Alligator mississippiensis: one gene and its partners. The protein of the gene in region 3 purifies or fractionates together with the protein of the main gene of each other region. This does not show direct contact. Links are inferred from orthologs where the notes say so. Each region holds a gene or a part of one and is shown on either strand. Other genes may lie near its edges. The genes, in order: IFT20, IFT88 and IFT57.

Region 1 (4,962 bases), on a different chromosome or scaffold from region 3:
AGCTATCATTAGTGTGTATGTAAATGCTTTTTTCTCTAATCAACCTCTTCCTTCTGCCAACTCCCTTCAATGACGATGCTCTCCCTGGTGACACTTTCTGAATGATGCCGCACGTACAAAATTCGGGTCCTTTGGAACAAATTAGCGGAAGAAAGAAACTGATTAGAAAGCATGTTTACCTGCACATGTGCCAACAACCAGTAGGGCTGGGATAATGCAAATACAAGAGTGATGTGACACTATAATGAGCGTGCTTGTCAGAATCTGTCAATGGTTCTTTATACACCTTGATAAGGGGAGACCTGGCTGTCACTGCAGAGATCCCGCACGCACCACCATCTGCGACTGTCTATTTCAGATGGATTGCTACAGATTGCTTTGAATGTGAAATAAGGGGGGGGGGGGGGGGGCGGTCTTTACTTGCAGAGGCAGAGGATAGCATTAGATAATATTTGCACAGTACCTTCATCTTCTCGCTTTCAGCTGCTTTTGCTAGTTGATCAACAAGTTCAATTAAGCTACCCACTATTTTTTGAAACTCTGCAATTTCTGGGGAGGGGAAAAAAAAAGAGAGAAATTGCTGTTATACCAAATGCATCCATCAAAGTGATACCAGTGTTGTATTCTGATAGACTTTGAGTGCTTTGTTTTTTAAACTGGGATTACTTTGTGCTTGACAGAAACAACGCGCACACAGATTGCATCAGGAACAATGCACGCACAGATTGTTCTGTGGTTTTTCTTGTTACTCAAATTGGGTGCTATTTCTTCTACTATGATGTGTGCTTCTGTGTTCTGACTTGTTTTATCTCTGGATTTAAATAAAGCCCTTTGTTGGCTTCTTTAGCAAGTGAAGTGTCCTAACATACAATATCACAATAAAGCCCTGCGGGAAAATAATCCTTTCAAAAGACAAAGCTGGGCTTCCACCTACAAAAAACCATCCCTTTTCCTTGCGTGAGACCAAATGCATTTGCTGTATGTGCTGCGAGCTGGAAATGTCACAATAAATAATACTTCACGGGAACTTTGCCTTGATTTAATCTTTAACCGAAAGCAATTGAGCAGTCAGGATTTGCAACGAGAAGTCGCCTTACACAGGTGTATCCATGCCATTCGCACGGCTGTGGTAGCAAACAGAAAGCAATGCTATCTGCAGCCAAGCCATTCCCTACACTAATGAATTCACTTCAGAAAACATCTCCATAAATAATAGGTCAAATATTGCTGGGGGGGAGAGGGGAAGTCGACATCGACCTCTTCTATCTATGCTGGACGGGAGCTTGGCAATGAGAAGCTCAGGCCTGGATCAGGTTTCTTTTCCGAGTTTCCCTCGCTTTATGCGGGTTGCGTATGTGCAAATTCGCTCTTAGGCAACGACCCTTTTTATACCAAAAATGGGAAATGGTCATTATATGCAAGGTAAATTCACTCTTATGTGATCGGTGCAGCGGAAGCCCGCAGTCCCCTGCTTTGTGCAGTGCACTGTGGGAGCGACAACACAGGCAGAGGAAGCAGACATTATTTGGGGGGGGCCGAGGTGGCCGGCGGCTCCTCCGGGAGCTGTGAGCCACGAAGCCGCCCGCAGCCACTGCCCCGGGAGCGCCACGACGCCACGTCACTGCAGCCGAGGCCCTGGAACGTATCCATGCTTGTTACATCGTAAAGTGGGTTCCCGCCCCTCGATGCGAATTCGAGTCACGCACCGCTTTCCAGCGTCAAGCGAGGGAAACCTAAACTCGGTGCTTGCGAGGCACGAATTCGAGTTACAGACGTTTTCCAGGAACTTGCCTACCGCATCGAGCGAGGGAAACCTATCCGTGCAATTCGTCTTTGCTTGTAAGGCACGTGTACACGGCACGAATTTGAGTTACGCACCGCTTTCCAGCGACGCGTGTACCGCGTTGAGGGAAACCCGCACACGCAACTCGTCCGTGCTTGTGCGACACGAATTCGAGTTACAGACGTTTTCCAGGAACTTGCCTACCGCATCGAGCGAGGGAAACCTATCCGTGCAACTCGTCTTTGCTTGTAAGACACGTGTACGCGGCACGAATTTGAGTTACGCACCGCTTTCCAGCGACGCGTGTAGCGCATCGAGGGAAACCCGCATACGCAACTCGTCCGTGCTTGTGCGACACGTGTGTGCGACACGAATTCGAGTTACAGACGTTTTCCAGGAACTTGCCTACCGCGTCGAGCGAGGGAAACCTATACGTGCAACTCGTCTTTGCTTGTAAGGCACGTGTACGCGGCACGAATTTGAGTTACGCACCGCTTTCCAGCGACGCGTGTAGCGCGTCGAGGGAAACCCGCACACGCAACTCGTCCGTGCTTGTGCGACACGTGTGTGCGACACGAATTCGAGTTACAGATGTTTTCCAGCCACGCGCGTACCGCATCTACTCCCTCCCCCCGAGGGGCCAGGCTCGGAGTGACCCCCTGCCCTGGGGAACATGGGTCAGCCCGGCCCTGCTGACTCAGCACACGTGGGGGCCCGATCCGGGGGGGAGGGAGGGGGGCACTCACTGTCCACGAAGGCCTTGCACTCCTCCCGCAGCTCCGCCGTCTGCTGCGCCACGCCCGGCTCCAGCACCCGCAGCTTGTTGAGCTCGTCGAAGTGCAGCCCCGCGCCACCCAGCAGCTCCCGGGCCATGGCCGCCGCCTGCGCCCAGCGGCCTCAGTTTACCCGCCGGTGGAATGGGCGCAGCAGCGCCCCCCGCGCCCTGCGACTCCCCTGCCCGCGGCCTTCGGCTGCCACGGCGACAGCCCCGCCCCCCGCGCGGAATGTACCATCCCGCGGGGGGAGGGAGGGAGGGGATAGGCTGAGAGTAGCGGGGCGCTGCGTTTGTTTAGCTCATTCCATTGTTTCTCATTCTATTTTAGTATTCTTCTTAATTATTTATAATGACGCGTGGCTGCCAGGCTCGGCTCCTTGCTGACCTCCGCGCGGCCTCCACGTCGTGGGGCCTCCCTGCCTGCCGCCGGCCTGCCGGGAGTTGTAGTTCCCGACTGCCGGGGCCCATCCACAAGTGAGGGGCATGCTGGGAATGGCTGTCTTTGCATGCAGGGGCTTGCTGGGAGCGCCCGTCCGCAAGTGAGGTGCATGCTGGGAGTGACTTTTTGCCCGCGGAGCATGTCGGGAGTTGCAGTTCCAGGCTACCGAGGCCTACTGGGAGCTCCCGTCCATAAGAGAGATGCATGCTGGGAATGGCTGTCTTTGCCCGCGGAGCATGCCGGGAGTTGCAGTTACCGGCGGGAAACTCCCATCCACAACAGAGGCGCGTGCCCGCGGAGCATGTTGGGAAGCGTCCCCACCCCGCGGAGCACGCTGGGAATTGTAGTCCCCGCCGCCGTGGCGGCGAGGAGAAGTCGGGGGCGGGCCTGGGCGGGAGGAGACGTGCTGACCGGGCCGGGGCGGTGGAGCCGGCGGCGGAGCGGCCTGCACCGGTACGAGCTCGGGGGGGTTGACCGGCAGAAGTGAGGCGGGAGGGGTGTGCCCCCCACCCACAGGCCCGGCTGGGGGCCTCCCTGTGTTTGTGCCTCCGTCTGTCGCTGCAGGGGTGTAGGTGCTGCGGGGTCACACCCCAGGTGCTGGGGATGGGTTCAAATGATCCTCAGGTAATTTGGGGGGGGCTCGGAGGGAAAAAATTGGGGGGAACGCAAGACCCATCGACTCAACCCGAAACCTGGTGGAGGGGAGCGCAGGAAGCTCCCCGGTTGCGGGGGACGAGGTCCGGGCGAGGGGCGAGGTGCCCCCGGCAGCGCGCGGGTCCCATCGGTTTAGTCGCCAAGGGCCGGAAAGGCAGACGCTGGCCCTACGGAGATGGGAGCAGCCATTGCTTGAAACCGCAGTTGCCTTTTGTTGTCTCTGGTCTGAAAGAAAATTTAGGACCAAACTCACCTTGTGAATTAGTTAAACCTTGCGGGAAGTCAGCGTCATCTTAATTGAATAACGACTTTTTTATGTTAAAAAGCAGATTTTTTTTTTCTCTCTCCTTAGTATATAAGTTACTTTGATAAGAATATCTTCGTTAGAAAGGTAACCCAACATACCGATCTATAAATTGGTGTGTAAAATACCTTTAAATCCATTTATTTATACATTTATTATTGGTGTGTAAGCTACCTTTATACTGATATAATTGCGCCTGGGCTACATGTGCTGCTTTAATCCTATCAGTAAACTAACAGAAATAGTTCAATAGGTTTTTGTGATGTGAAAAGTTTATCCTGTGGGAGGAAGGGGGAAATGGAGGTCTGGCTAAAAATCATTTTGATGAATTACCCGAGATGGTGACAATCTTCAGCCATTACCTATTTGGGTAAGGTTTGAATTGTAACCTCATGCTGAAAGGTTGTGTGTCCTCTTGACAAGCTTTTGAACCTACTCTTTCGTCCTTCTAGCTTGCAGTCCCTGTGACTAGCTTGCAGGGATAAAATATATGAGTCCCATATTTTCATTGGGAAATGTAGCTTCCCTGTTGATGTAATCCAGGGGTGGCCAACCTACGGCGCACATGCCACAAGTGGTCCAAGCAGCCTGTGTGTGGGGTATGTGAGTGATCAGGGAGGGGGCAGGAAGCAGAAAGCAACGCAGCAAATGGGGCAGGGAGCGGAGGGAAGGAGGCAGAGCAGCAAACCAGGCAAGAGAAGAGGATTGGAGTGGCAGCCGGGGAGGGTGCAGTGGTAATTTGTGTCCTGCCTGTCAGAAAGGTTGGTTCCAACTAAACTAATCTATTCTTTTGTTTCTAACGTTGTCAAAGGCTCCAGTGGATTATGACAATCGCCGCCTTGCCCTCCCTGCCCAGCTCATTGTGACTTCTCCCCAATCACGGCGGAATCCATCAAGCCCACGTGCTGCAGAGTTGTCATCTACTTGCAGAAGGAGATGTCTGGGGACACGTGTTTAACCACCATCTGTCCAGCTTCAGGAGCCAAGCCCAAAGCCTGCAGCTTCAA
Region 2 (4,962 bases), about 180 Mb from region 3:
TGCACTGCTTTTTTGCTACCGGGAACTCTGGAAAGAGGTTTGCAGTGCCATAACCTGAACATGCCTGCATGTCTGGATCTGACCTTTTGAGTGCAAGTGTGTGAACATGCATGACCATATTTTTCTATCAAGTTCCCTGTTTTCTTTCTGCCTGTGGTAAACATTTGTATGTACCTGAGTGTCCTTTCATGGTAGTATTCCTTTGTTACTACACCTGTGTTTTTCAGTTTTTTATTCAGTATTTTTGTGGACATTTTTTTATTTAGGTCATCTGATGTTATCTGGTTCTCATCCTTCCTCCAGTTATTTTCAGTAGTTGCATATGAGGTGACATCACAACATTATGTCTCATTCTGTTATCTTACCGGTGGCTCAGTCAGAACAATCTGTAGATCAATCTCTGTCTCTTGTTGAAATATAAGGCCTGTCTACACTTGACATTGTCTCAGATTAAACTTGAGTCATTTTGCATTAAAGAATTTTCTTTCCCCAAACACAAGTGTTGTAGTGAATCATGTGGTATTTGAACATGTGCGTTTAAACGCACTTGGGAAGCAAGTCTGCTGAAGTGCAGGATGGGCTCATCTGCAGCAAAGTAGGGGTGGAGACGTACTTATCCCAAAGTAGCTCTTGAGTATCTCCTAAATCCTCCCACCAGTATCCTACACAGTTTTTCAGGATGCCTGGATTGCATGTTTGAGTGCCCTTGCTGTTCCAGGATCATCCTGACTCACCTGTTTAAACACTGGCACACAACCAGTTACTGTCCTCCTGTGACCCCAGTACTGAGGTTGTCCATATGACTGTCACACTCCTGTCTGTTGAACAGCTATCCCTCGTACTGAGGTTCTAGACTTCGTTGTTTTTTGGGAAAGGAATATGTGCAGGCCTATCTGTGCACTGGAATGGCTAGAATTCAGATATATAAGTGTCTGTCTGAACAAATGAATGAGGGAAGCGCAACACATATTGAAGCCAGTGCCAAATAAAAGAAAAGAACTTAACCTGGTTGAAAAAAGTGTAAGGGATGACCATGACTTTTGGAGAACTTGCAGCATCTACAGCTACTTTGAGCTGGACTGTATATTTGCGAGGGAACCTAAAATTAAACCTCTGCGTTTGATGGAGATCACCAAAGAACACTGAAAGCACCCATGGCAGTAATAATCCCAAACCCTCTGATTTCATGACCACTGCAGACACGGAGGAAAGACTACTTTCCAAAGACCGAGGAGCTGACAGAATTGCAACCAGGTGGTCCAACTGCATCACAGAGGAGACACTGCAGGGAATCACTTCCAGTAAGCAGTATATGTTGCTTATGTGGAGACAAACAGCTCTTAGTTTGAGGTGTCGTAAGGGTGATGTCATATTTGTCTAGAGCAGGAGTAGGCAACCCCTGGCATGGGTGCCAGAGCATGGCATGTGAACGCATTTTGCTTGGTACATGTGCCTTGGGGCCAGGGCTACACTACCACAACAAGGATCTGGCCCCTTGTGGCTCCCCTGCCATCCACCTGGCATGCTAATGTCTTACAAGTTGAGGTTGCAGGTATTTTTGGCACTGCCCAAAAATGTTGCTGACCCCTAGTTTAGATTGCCTAGTATTCAAGTATATGAATTATTATACATTCATCAAAAATGGATGGTGGGATGGAATAAGAAGAATATTTTCATTTAAAACCCAAAATACATGGCCATCCAGTGGGAATCCATGAACCTCAGGAGTGGAACAGTGCATTACAGAATGTCTGGCTAGAATTCAGAGTTCTTTTTCAAAGTCTGACTCTCCTGTGTAGCCATGCAGCAAAGAGAAAAATATTTCTTTAATTGGGGAGTAACGGTGCAGTGGTATGCTCTAGTGGCACCACAGTTATTGGTCTTAATATAGACACAGAAAACCTACTGCAAATTTCAAGAGCAGATCTGCCTTTTCATTGTTCCATCTTTAGTTTTCCCATGTGTTTTTAACATTCCTGGCTGAAATTCTTTTGAATACAAATTAGGTTTGATTAGCTTGGTTCAAAGTATTAACATAAAATGCTCGTGCATGCATGCTTACTTGTGTTCCCTGGTTGAGAATCACTAATTTAAAGAGACTATATGTGAATTCTTCAAAATTATACCTTCTTGCAATTGAGTAGGAGATATAAACTTGCTTCCCTTTTCATCTTGAATCTGGGCTGTAATAACCAAGGCATCTGGCTATACAGGTGGAAGAGATGCAACAAACATTAATTTTAAGAAAAAAAGTTTAGCATCCTGAAATGGTCAACTTTTGACAGCTGTTTACTGCCAAAATAATGCATGGTAATTATATTTTATATATCATGATAAATGTCCGTAACCCAATAAAAAACCATATATAAAAACAAAATATGGTCATAGAGCAAGTGTGGTTACTTACTATCAGGTTGGGTCAGATGCTAACAGCTGTGCATTGAAACATGGAAAAAGGGGTGCTTGGCACTCTGTAGTCTCTGTTTTCTGTCACAAGCAAATAGTGTGTTGGCAAGGTTTCTTCCATTCTTGAAGAAATTGATCACTGTAGAATTATCTTCTCTGTCCTGAGGATTTAAAAAATGAGCATATATAATTACAGCCTGCTTTGAGCATTTTATTACAATAAATAAATATCAGTGAAAGATCCAAAATTATTTAAGATTATGAAAATGTTGTGACACTTATTTTGGTTAATAAGTGTAAAGATTTGGAGTTTCTCTTATTTTTTACAGTTATTAGCTTATTAATTTTTTCAATTCTTTTTTTCAATCAAAAGGAAGACAGGCAAGATGATAAAATGTATTAATTAGCTCTTACAGTAAGAGACAGGTCTGACTAAAGTTAGACACGCTATGTATTTGGCTAAAAGTTTGTTAACCTATGTGCATTAGGTGAGGAGAATAGAAACATGCAGTTTCTAACATCCATAAAATGTGAAGAAATAATCTCTCTAGCCTTAAATCTACCCAAGTTATAATACAGACTTAACTAGCATGTAGCATTAAATGTACAAGCTCCTTTGCAATGCTAGGAGAGTATGATACTTACTTGTTTACCAGGAGTCTTTCAGTTTTGGGAGCATATTTTCTCCAATTTTAAGATCTTGCTGCTTGATATTCAGCATGATTTCTTCAATGCATAGTACGCATCTGCCAAAATGGCTCCTTTGAACTCTGTTTTTGTTTAAAATTCTATCATTCATCATGGCCAGTAATGACTCTGGGTTACTCGGTAACTGCTGGTTACTAAGTAAACTCTTTCCTCCATTTACTTTTTAAATATTATTAGAATTGATGCAAATCTTTGCTTACCAAAAGAGATGTGCAAGTAAACTTAAATACCCTTCGTCTTATGTGACTTCTAAGTAAACCAAAACTAGATGAGACTGCTTTCACAAAATTTTCACTTTGAGGGGGAAGGGTTTTGTTTTATACTTTCCTAAGTTCAGTATCTAAGATGCGTCTAATCCAAGTGCACTATGGAACATATTTTCCGTTACTCTATTTCTGCACTGAATTTGTGGCCAGTGGCACAAGATAAATGAATTCAAGCCAATCCTGTGAATCCCTAATTTTGGATCCGATACCTGGAACTACTTGGAGTAGCCCTAGGGCTGCTCTGAATCTGGCCAATTTGTAATTGACCTCCAATCAGAAGAGCCAGAGTGAGATTAATTGTGGTCTTAACTTATGTATTTGGGATATTTTGACTTAAATTGATTTTGTAGATTAGAATATTTCATGTAGATTTTTCAGTCCTTCACATCTCTTGTCTAATATATAGTTCAATTTTATAGTGACTTATTTTTTATACAATTGTGAACCTCCTTAGATCTAGAAATTAGGGAAATAACAGGCAATTTGATTTATTTTTATAGGGGAAAACAAAATATATTAGATACTTTACAGAATAAATCATAAGACATGGGATGGCCTTTACCCTAAATGGAATAATCTTAGATAAAAAAAACATGCAAACATAAGGCTGGAAAGGACCTCAGGAAGTAATTTAGTCTAGTCCCTTTCTCAGGACAGGTTCATTTATGTTTAAACTGTCTCAGACAAATGTTTATCATACCTTCACTTAATCTTCCAGTGATGGAGATTCCATAGTTTCTCTGGTAATCTTGTCCAGGATTTAACCACTCCCAGAAGTAGAAAGTTCTTAATATTTGAACTCTTCCTTGTTGCAACTGAAGCTCATTATTTCTTGTCCTGTCCCTTGTGTACATAGAGAATGAATGATCACTGTCATCATCTTTATAACAGCTGTTTTTGTAATTGAAAATTGTTGCCAAATTTCCCCTCATATTTCTCTTCCCTGGACTAAATAATCCCAGTTCTTTCAACCTTTTCTTGTATGTCTTGTTTCCAGACTTCTAATTGTTGTTGTTGGAGAGGAATCAGAAGAGAGCAGTTTTCCATATCTTCCTTAACAAGGTGGCCAGAACTGGACCTTGTCCTCTTGGTAGACTACTACTGAATAAAGCAGAAAAATCACTTTCCATGACGTGTATGATACTCTGATGTTCTAATTCATCTCAGTAAGCTTCTAGCCCCCCCGCAACAATATTATATTGTTGACTTCTTGTCAGCTTGTAGACCACTGTAAACCTCCAGTACCAGGCCCTTATTGAATTTCAGCATATTTGCTTAATAAATTGTGAAATGATATTAAGTTTATTTTGAATCTTAATCGTGTTGTGTAAAGGGCCTGCTACCGTATCGAGCTTGGTGTCATCTGCAAATCCTCCAAGTCATTAATGAACACATAAAACTATACCAGACCCAGGACAGACCTGTGGAGTGCCCTGCTTGGTTGTCTGCTGGAAGTCTGACATTGACATTGAGTCATTGAAGACTACTCTTAGAGCACAATGATCTATTCAGTTATGCACTAAACTTGGAGTATCATCTGGACAGTATTTCTTTTGCTTCCATATGAGGATGTTTTGGGAGA
Region 3 (4,962 bases):
ACACAGCAGTGGGAACCTGTCATGTGATCCAGCCAACACTAGTCTTTGGCTTTTCAGCAGCTGACAGCTGATCCTTTGACAGCCTGTCTACCTTCCCAGCAAGGGAAAGGGCAGGCTGTCAATGGGTGGGATCCCCTTGGAGTGTGGGAAACCAAGGAGCAGCCCTCTATCACCTCCTGACTAGAGAGCTTGTGACTCCAGCTCTCCAGTCAGGGAGCTGGATTGTTTTCCTGGTCCTGGAAATTTTGGGACCTCAAACTGAACATCTGCCCATACTCTTTGGCTTTCATCCCTTTTCCTAGAGATAAAAAAAAATACCTCCCAAGCTTATGGTGTTGCTAGCTTCTGCAAATCAACAGCACACCAGGGGCTGATTGGCTGGCATTGTGTCTGGCTGCCTTTGACTCCCCAGATCATATAACAAAGTACTACTTTATGTCTGGGATGACTGAGGCTTGCCTTTTGGTACAAGTCTGGAATGGCCTAAATTCAGGCCTCAGGAGCTGTAGTGAGACATCCCAACCAGTTTGTCCCCATGCCTATTATTATTATCATCATTATCATCAATATCAATTATGATGATGATAAAAATAAACATATTTTATACTCTAGGGGAAAGTTGCAATGTGACAAACCTCAGACTTTTGCAAGAAGCATGATAGTAAGTGACACCAAGAGCCAGGATTTGGTTTTTAGAAGTGATCTGTGAAATATTTGCCAAAACAGACTGCACTGATTTTTTAATCCTTTGGGGAATAAAAAGAAAAGATCTGGAAGGCTTGTTCAATCTATTCCTTTCTCTCCCTACCCCCCCATCCCACTCTCTTTTTCCTTGAATATCACAACATCCACTGTATAGTTTGACTGAATCAGAGAAGCATAAGCTTTCATGAACAAGAGCTCACTTCATCAGACGCTATATGACTCATTCATCATAAAAACTAATGAAAGTGTATGCATCTCCGAGTCAATTAAAGTGCATCTTCACCCTGCCTTCTGCCTGACTTCAGACTAATACCACTAACTTCCTCTCGTTATCTATTTTAACTTGATTTTTATGCAAAACATCCGAAGGTCTCTGTGTACACTAATCACTTCCATCTTAACTGATGAGGTCAGGGGTTTGAATCTTAAAACCAAAATATCCACTGTAACAGGAATGCCCAGTTCTGCTACTGGGAAAGGGCTGAAGGACAAGGAAAACCTGCAAGCCATTTAAGAATAGGACTTTTGTAGCCTGGAGAGGCAAGGACTCAGAAATGGGAACCTGACTCCAAGGAGGAACAAGGAGCTTAGCTCCCTGAGACTAGCAGGGGAGAAGGGTCCAGTCTAGAGTCTGCAAGGGTGAGAAAGACACCTGGTACCTGCAACAATAAGCCGTCCTAGGAAGGCAGCCACTAAAACAGAACTGCCAGTCCCTTGGGGATCCAGCTGCCTAGCAATAGGCTTCACAGAAATTGCTCTGCAGGCCAGGAGTAAGCTGAAGGCTGCAAACAGGTAGGGACACTGCTGAATGACAAGCAGCTGGCCCAGGACTGCAGACTCACCTCTCACAGAGGCCCTAGGACAGGGGTGGGCAAAATGCAGCCCGTGGGCCGGATGCAGCTCGCCAGGCCATTCTATCCGGCCTGTGGGGACCCTAAAAAATTTAGAAAATTAATATTTATCTGCCCCTGGCTGCCTGTCATGCGGCCCTCAATGGCTTGCCAAAACTCAGTAAGCTGCCCTTGGCCCGAAATAATTGCCCATCCCTGCCCTAGGAGATAAAGAGAAACCTCTGTGCCCAAGCTGAGCAGCAGGGATAAGCTGGCCAGCATACGGGCTTACCTCCCAGGCAGAGTGGGGCACTCTGGCCCTGACTGTTGAGGATCAAGGAACTCTGCTGCTCAATATGGGGAACCCAGAATCACAAGGAGAGGAGAAGCCACTAGAAGAGGCAGGGGAGCCGCTATACCAGGAGTGTGCCTGTGCCAGGTAACATTTTTGTTAAGGACTGTTACCCAGTGGGCTTTTGTGTTTCTGTTAGGAGTCTGATAATAACGACCAGAGGACCAGGAGTGATTGTGAGGGTGTGTTTGAAGGCCACAAAGCAGAGTGCCCAGCATGCTGCGATCTTTACTTCTGTGAGGGACAAGAGCCTGAAGCAGCATAGGCTGAGGCCATTGGGCCAAGAGCCAGAGCCGAGGGGCAGAGGCCAGGGAGGTTCAGGCCTATCTGAGGAATGTGAGCCTTATGCCGATGGGACAAGGGTTATCCCCCACTGCTAACAGAGGGGGTTACTGGGCATGCGCCAGCTGAACCCATGGGACGACTACAACGCAGAATGGGGACGGGAGCGAAAGCTGCCGTGCCAGACGAGCGGGCTGAGGGGGTCGTTCCAGCAAAGGTTACCAACTCTGAATCTATTCCAGGTTTCATAACACAATGTAATGACATGAATGGCTTCATGTCAGGAAGTCAAATACAACGTTCCTATTACATTTTAAAAACCCACTGGACAACTATATAAATCAGATTCAACATTTAATAAATATTTATTTTAATGAATGCCCTGTCATTGACCTCCCACGTGACACTCAGCAGTCTCCTGGAGATTTATATCTAATTTCTGGAGGCTCCAGGGCAGTCCTGGAGGACTGGCAACCCTAGCACCTGCCAGTGCCCACTGGACTGTGAGCAAGTCCAAGGAGCAAGTGCCTGCTGCCCAATAAAACGCTGCCCAGACCAGGGCCAGGGTGCAGGTGTGGCTGCAGGTCAGCTACTTTGGACCCTGGGGCACCCCTGGAAGGATCTAGGACCACTCCCTCAGGGGCAGGGCGCAGGGCTGTACCAGAGCCTCTGACTGTAAGCCACACCCTACCCCAGCCTCAAACCACGCCCCCTGCAGGTAGACTGCCAAGGCGACGTCACAGGCGAGGAGGGAGGTAGCCCCTAGTTAGCGCCCCCTCTGCCCCGCGCCGCCAGCGGCTTCCGGGTTAAGGGTCACCTGGAGAGGGGCCGCATGTTGTGGCGCCGCAGCGCCTCCTCCTCGTAGTCGAGCAGCTTCAGCTTCTCCAGCAGGTCTTCCATCGTCACGAACATCTGATAGGCCGCGCCCGGGCCCCGCTCCGCTGCTGCCTCCGCCCCCTCCCCGCCGCGCCGCTCGCCGCCGCCGCCCTCCTCCGCCATCTCTAGCCTCCCCCTGCCCAGGGCCTCCAAAGCGCTGCCCCGACCCGGCAGCCGCGCCGTCACCGCGGCAACGAGCTCTGCCAATCGCCTCTCTGCACGGCTCGTTCCGCCCTGGCCCCAACCAATCAAGCTCTCCGTACACCATACCCTTGCACCAGTCACCTCGCAGCTCGGGGGCCCAGCTAGTGAGCGGGGGCTGTTCTCCTTCACGCGCGCCCCCAGCTGAATTGGCGAGCAGGCAGGGCGCCGAAGCGCCAGAATGTCGGGTTCTGTCGTGACGTGTCGCGACGTCACCGCCACCCCGGGGCGCGCGCACGTTCAAGCATGTGCATCCGCTCACACGCCCGTGCCCGTTCACGCGGATACGCACCCATAATCACCCCCACACACGTGCACCCCCATTCATACTCCCCACACAGGTGCACCCACTGTCACCCCCAAACACACGCACCCCCATTCACACCCCCTCATAGGTGCACCCCTATTCACCCCTCCACGCACGCACCCCCATTTACACATACCCTTGTTCCCACACGCAGACGTCCACACCCATTCCCACACACACGCAAACACGCACACCCATTCTCACATATACACCATTTATACACACATTCCCCTATTCACATAGCCCCACTCAAACGCCTGTATACACGCCCGTTCACACGCACCTTTCACACACTCGCACCCTCACTGACAGCCTCATTCTCTTACGTTCATACACAAACACGCACACCTTCACACAAATACACACACGCCTATTCACACCTCTCATTCACACACGTCACCAGTCACACGCAGTTCTCTCACGTATGGGCATCCAGTCACACAAAGCACGCACACACAAAAACATGCACACCCATTCACACACGCACACCCATGTACACACAGAACCATTTACATGGATACCAACAAATGTGCATGCACACCCACTCACACACACCTGCACCCATTCACACACATGCACATGCATGCCCATTCCATACATGCACACACAAACATGCACCCATATACATATGCATGTACACCCATCCACACACACTCCCCATTTACATACACGCAGACCCATTCAGACACACACCAACAGCCATACATACACACACAAACATGCACATCCATACATCTATTCACATCTCCCCATTCACACACGCACACTCCCATTCACACCCATAAAACATTCACACACACTCAGGCACATGCACCATTCACATGAGATGTACTCCCACTCACACACACATACATAGGCACTCCCATTCACACATGCACCTCCACGGACACACAAACCATTCCCACAAACATGCACACGCAGGCCCATTCTCACACACAAACACACACACCCATTCACACATGCACCCCACAGACGCACACACAAACGTGCCATCATGCCCCTGCATTCACACACACACAACCCCATTCACACCTGTTCACCCCATTCACACACGCGTGCCCCCATTCGAAACACACCCATCACACACATGTGCGCCTCTTCGCATACACAAACCACTCACGCAGGCGCACACAAAAAAAAACACGTGTGTTCATTCACACATCCATTCACACGCGCGCGCACCCATTCATGCCCCCAGTCACACAAACGGGCACACCCATTTACACACGCGTACATGCACACCCGTTCCACCAGACTGAGACACGCCCATTGACGCCTTCTCACACACCCCCATTCACATGCATACGCGCGGTCGCAGGCACCACTCACACCCAAACACACAACAGTACACACCCATTCACTCACACACACACACACACACACACACACACACAGATTTGTTGTCAACT

Evidence for each region.
Region 1: the proteins of IFT57 (region 3) and IFT20 purify together in Homo sapiens (affinity purification with mass spectrometry; 3 studies listed by BioGRID and IntAct, counting the BioPlex papers as one, with this or other methods). This does not show direct contact. The link is inferred for Alligator mississippiensis from reciprocal best matches to the Homo sapiens genes IFT57 and IFT20.
Region 2: the proteins of IFT57 (region 3) and IFT88 purify together in Homo sapiens (affinity purification with mass spectrometry; 3 studies listed by BioGRID and IntAct, counting the BioPlex papers as one, with this or other methods). This does not show direct contact. The link is inferred for Alligator mississippiensis from reciprocal best matches to the Homo sapiens genes IFT57 and IFT88.

Annotation. Positions count from the first base shown.
Region 1 is NC_081837.1:7,380,773-7,385,734, forward strand, and holds the start of IFT20 (intraflagellar transport protein 20 homolog), read right to left. Parts: upstream 2,989-4,962; 5' UTR 2,657-2,988; coding exon 2,530-2,656; intron 550-2,529; coding exon 464-549; intron 130-463; coding exon of another isoform or gene 67-129; exon of another isoform or gene 1-66. Other genes in the region: TNFAIP1 (BTB/POZ domain-containing adapter for CUL3-mediated RhoA degradation protein 2), read left to right, coding at 4,892-4,962. UniProt on the Homo sapiens protein: Part of intraflagellar transport (IFT) particles involved in ciliary process assembly. May play a role in the trafficking of ciliary membrane proteins from the Golgi complex to the cilium.
Region 2 is NC_081824.1:433,865,080-433,870,041, forward strand, and holds the start of IFT88 (intraflagellar transport protein 88 homolog), read right to left. Parts: upstream 3,176-4,962; 5' UTR 3,052-3,175; intron 2,568-3,051; 5' UTR 2,408-2,567; intron 1-2,407. UniProt on the Homo sapiens protein: Positively regulates primary cilium biogenesis. Also involved in autophagy since it is required for trafficking of ATG16L and the expansion of the autophagic compartment.
Region 3 is NC_081824.1:258,561,009-258,565,970, reverse strand, and holds the start of IFT57 (intraflagellar transport protein 57 homolog), read right to left. Parts: upstream 3,184-4,962; 5' UTR 3,169-3,183; coding exon 2,987-3,168; intron 1-2,986. UniProt on the Homo sapiens protein: Required for the formation of cilia. Plays an indirect role in sonic hedgehog signaling, cilia being required for all activity of the hedgehog pathway.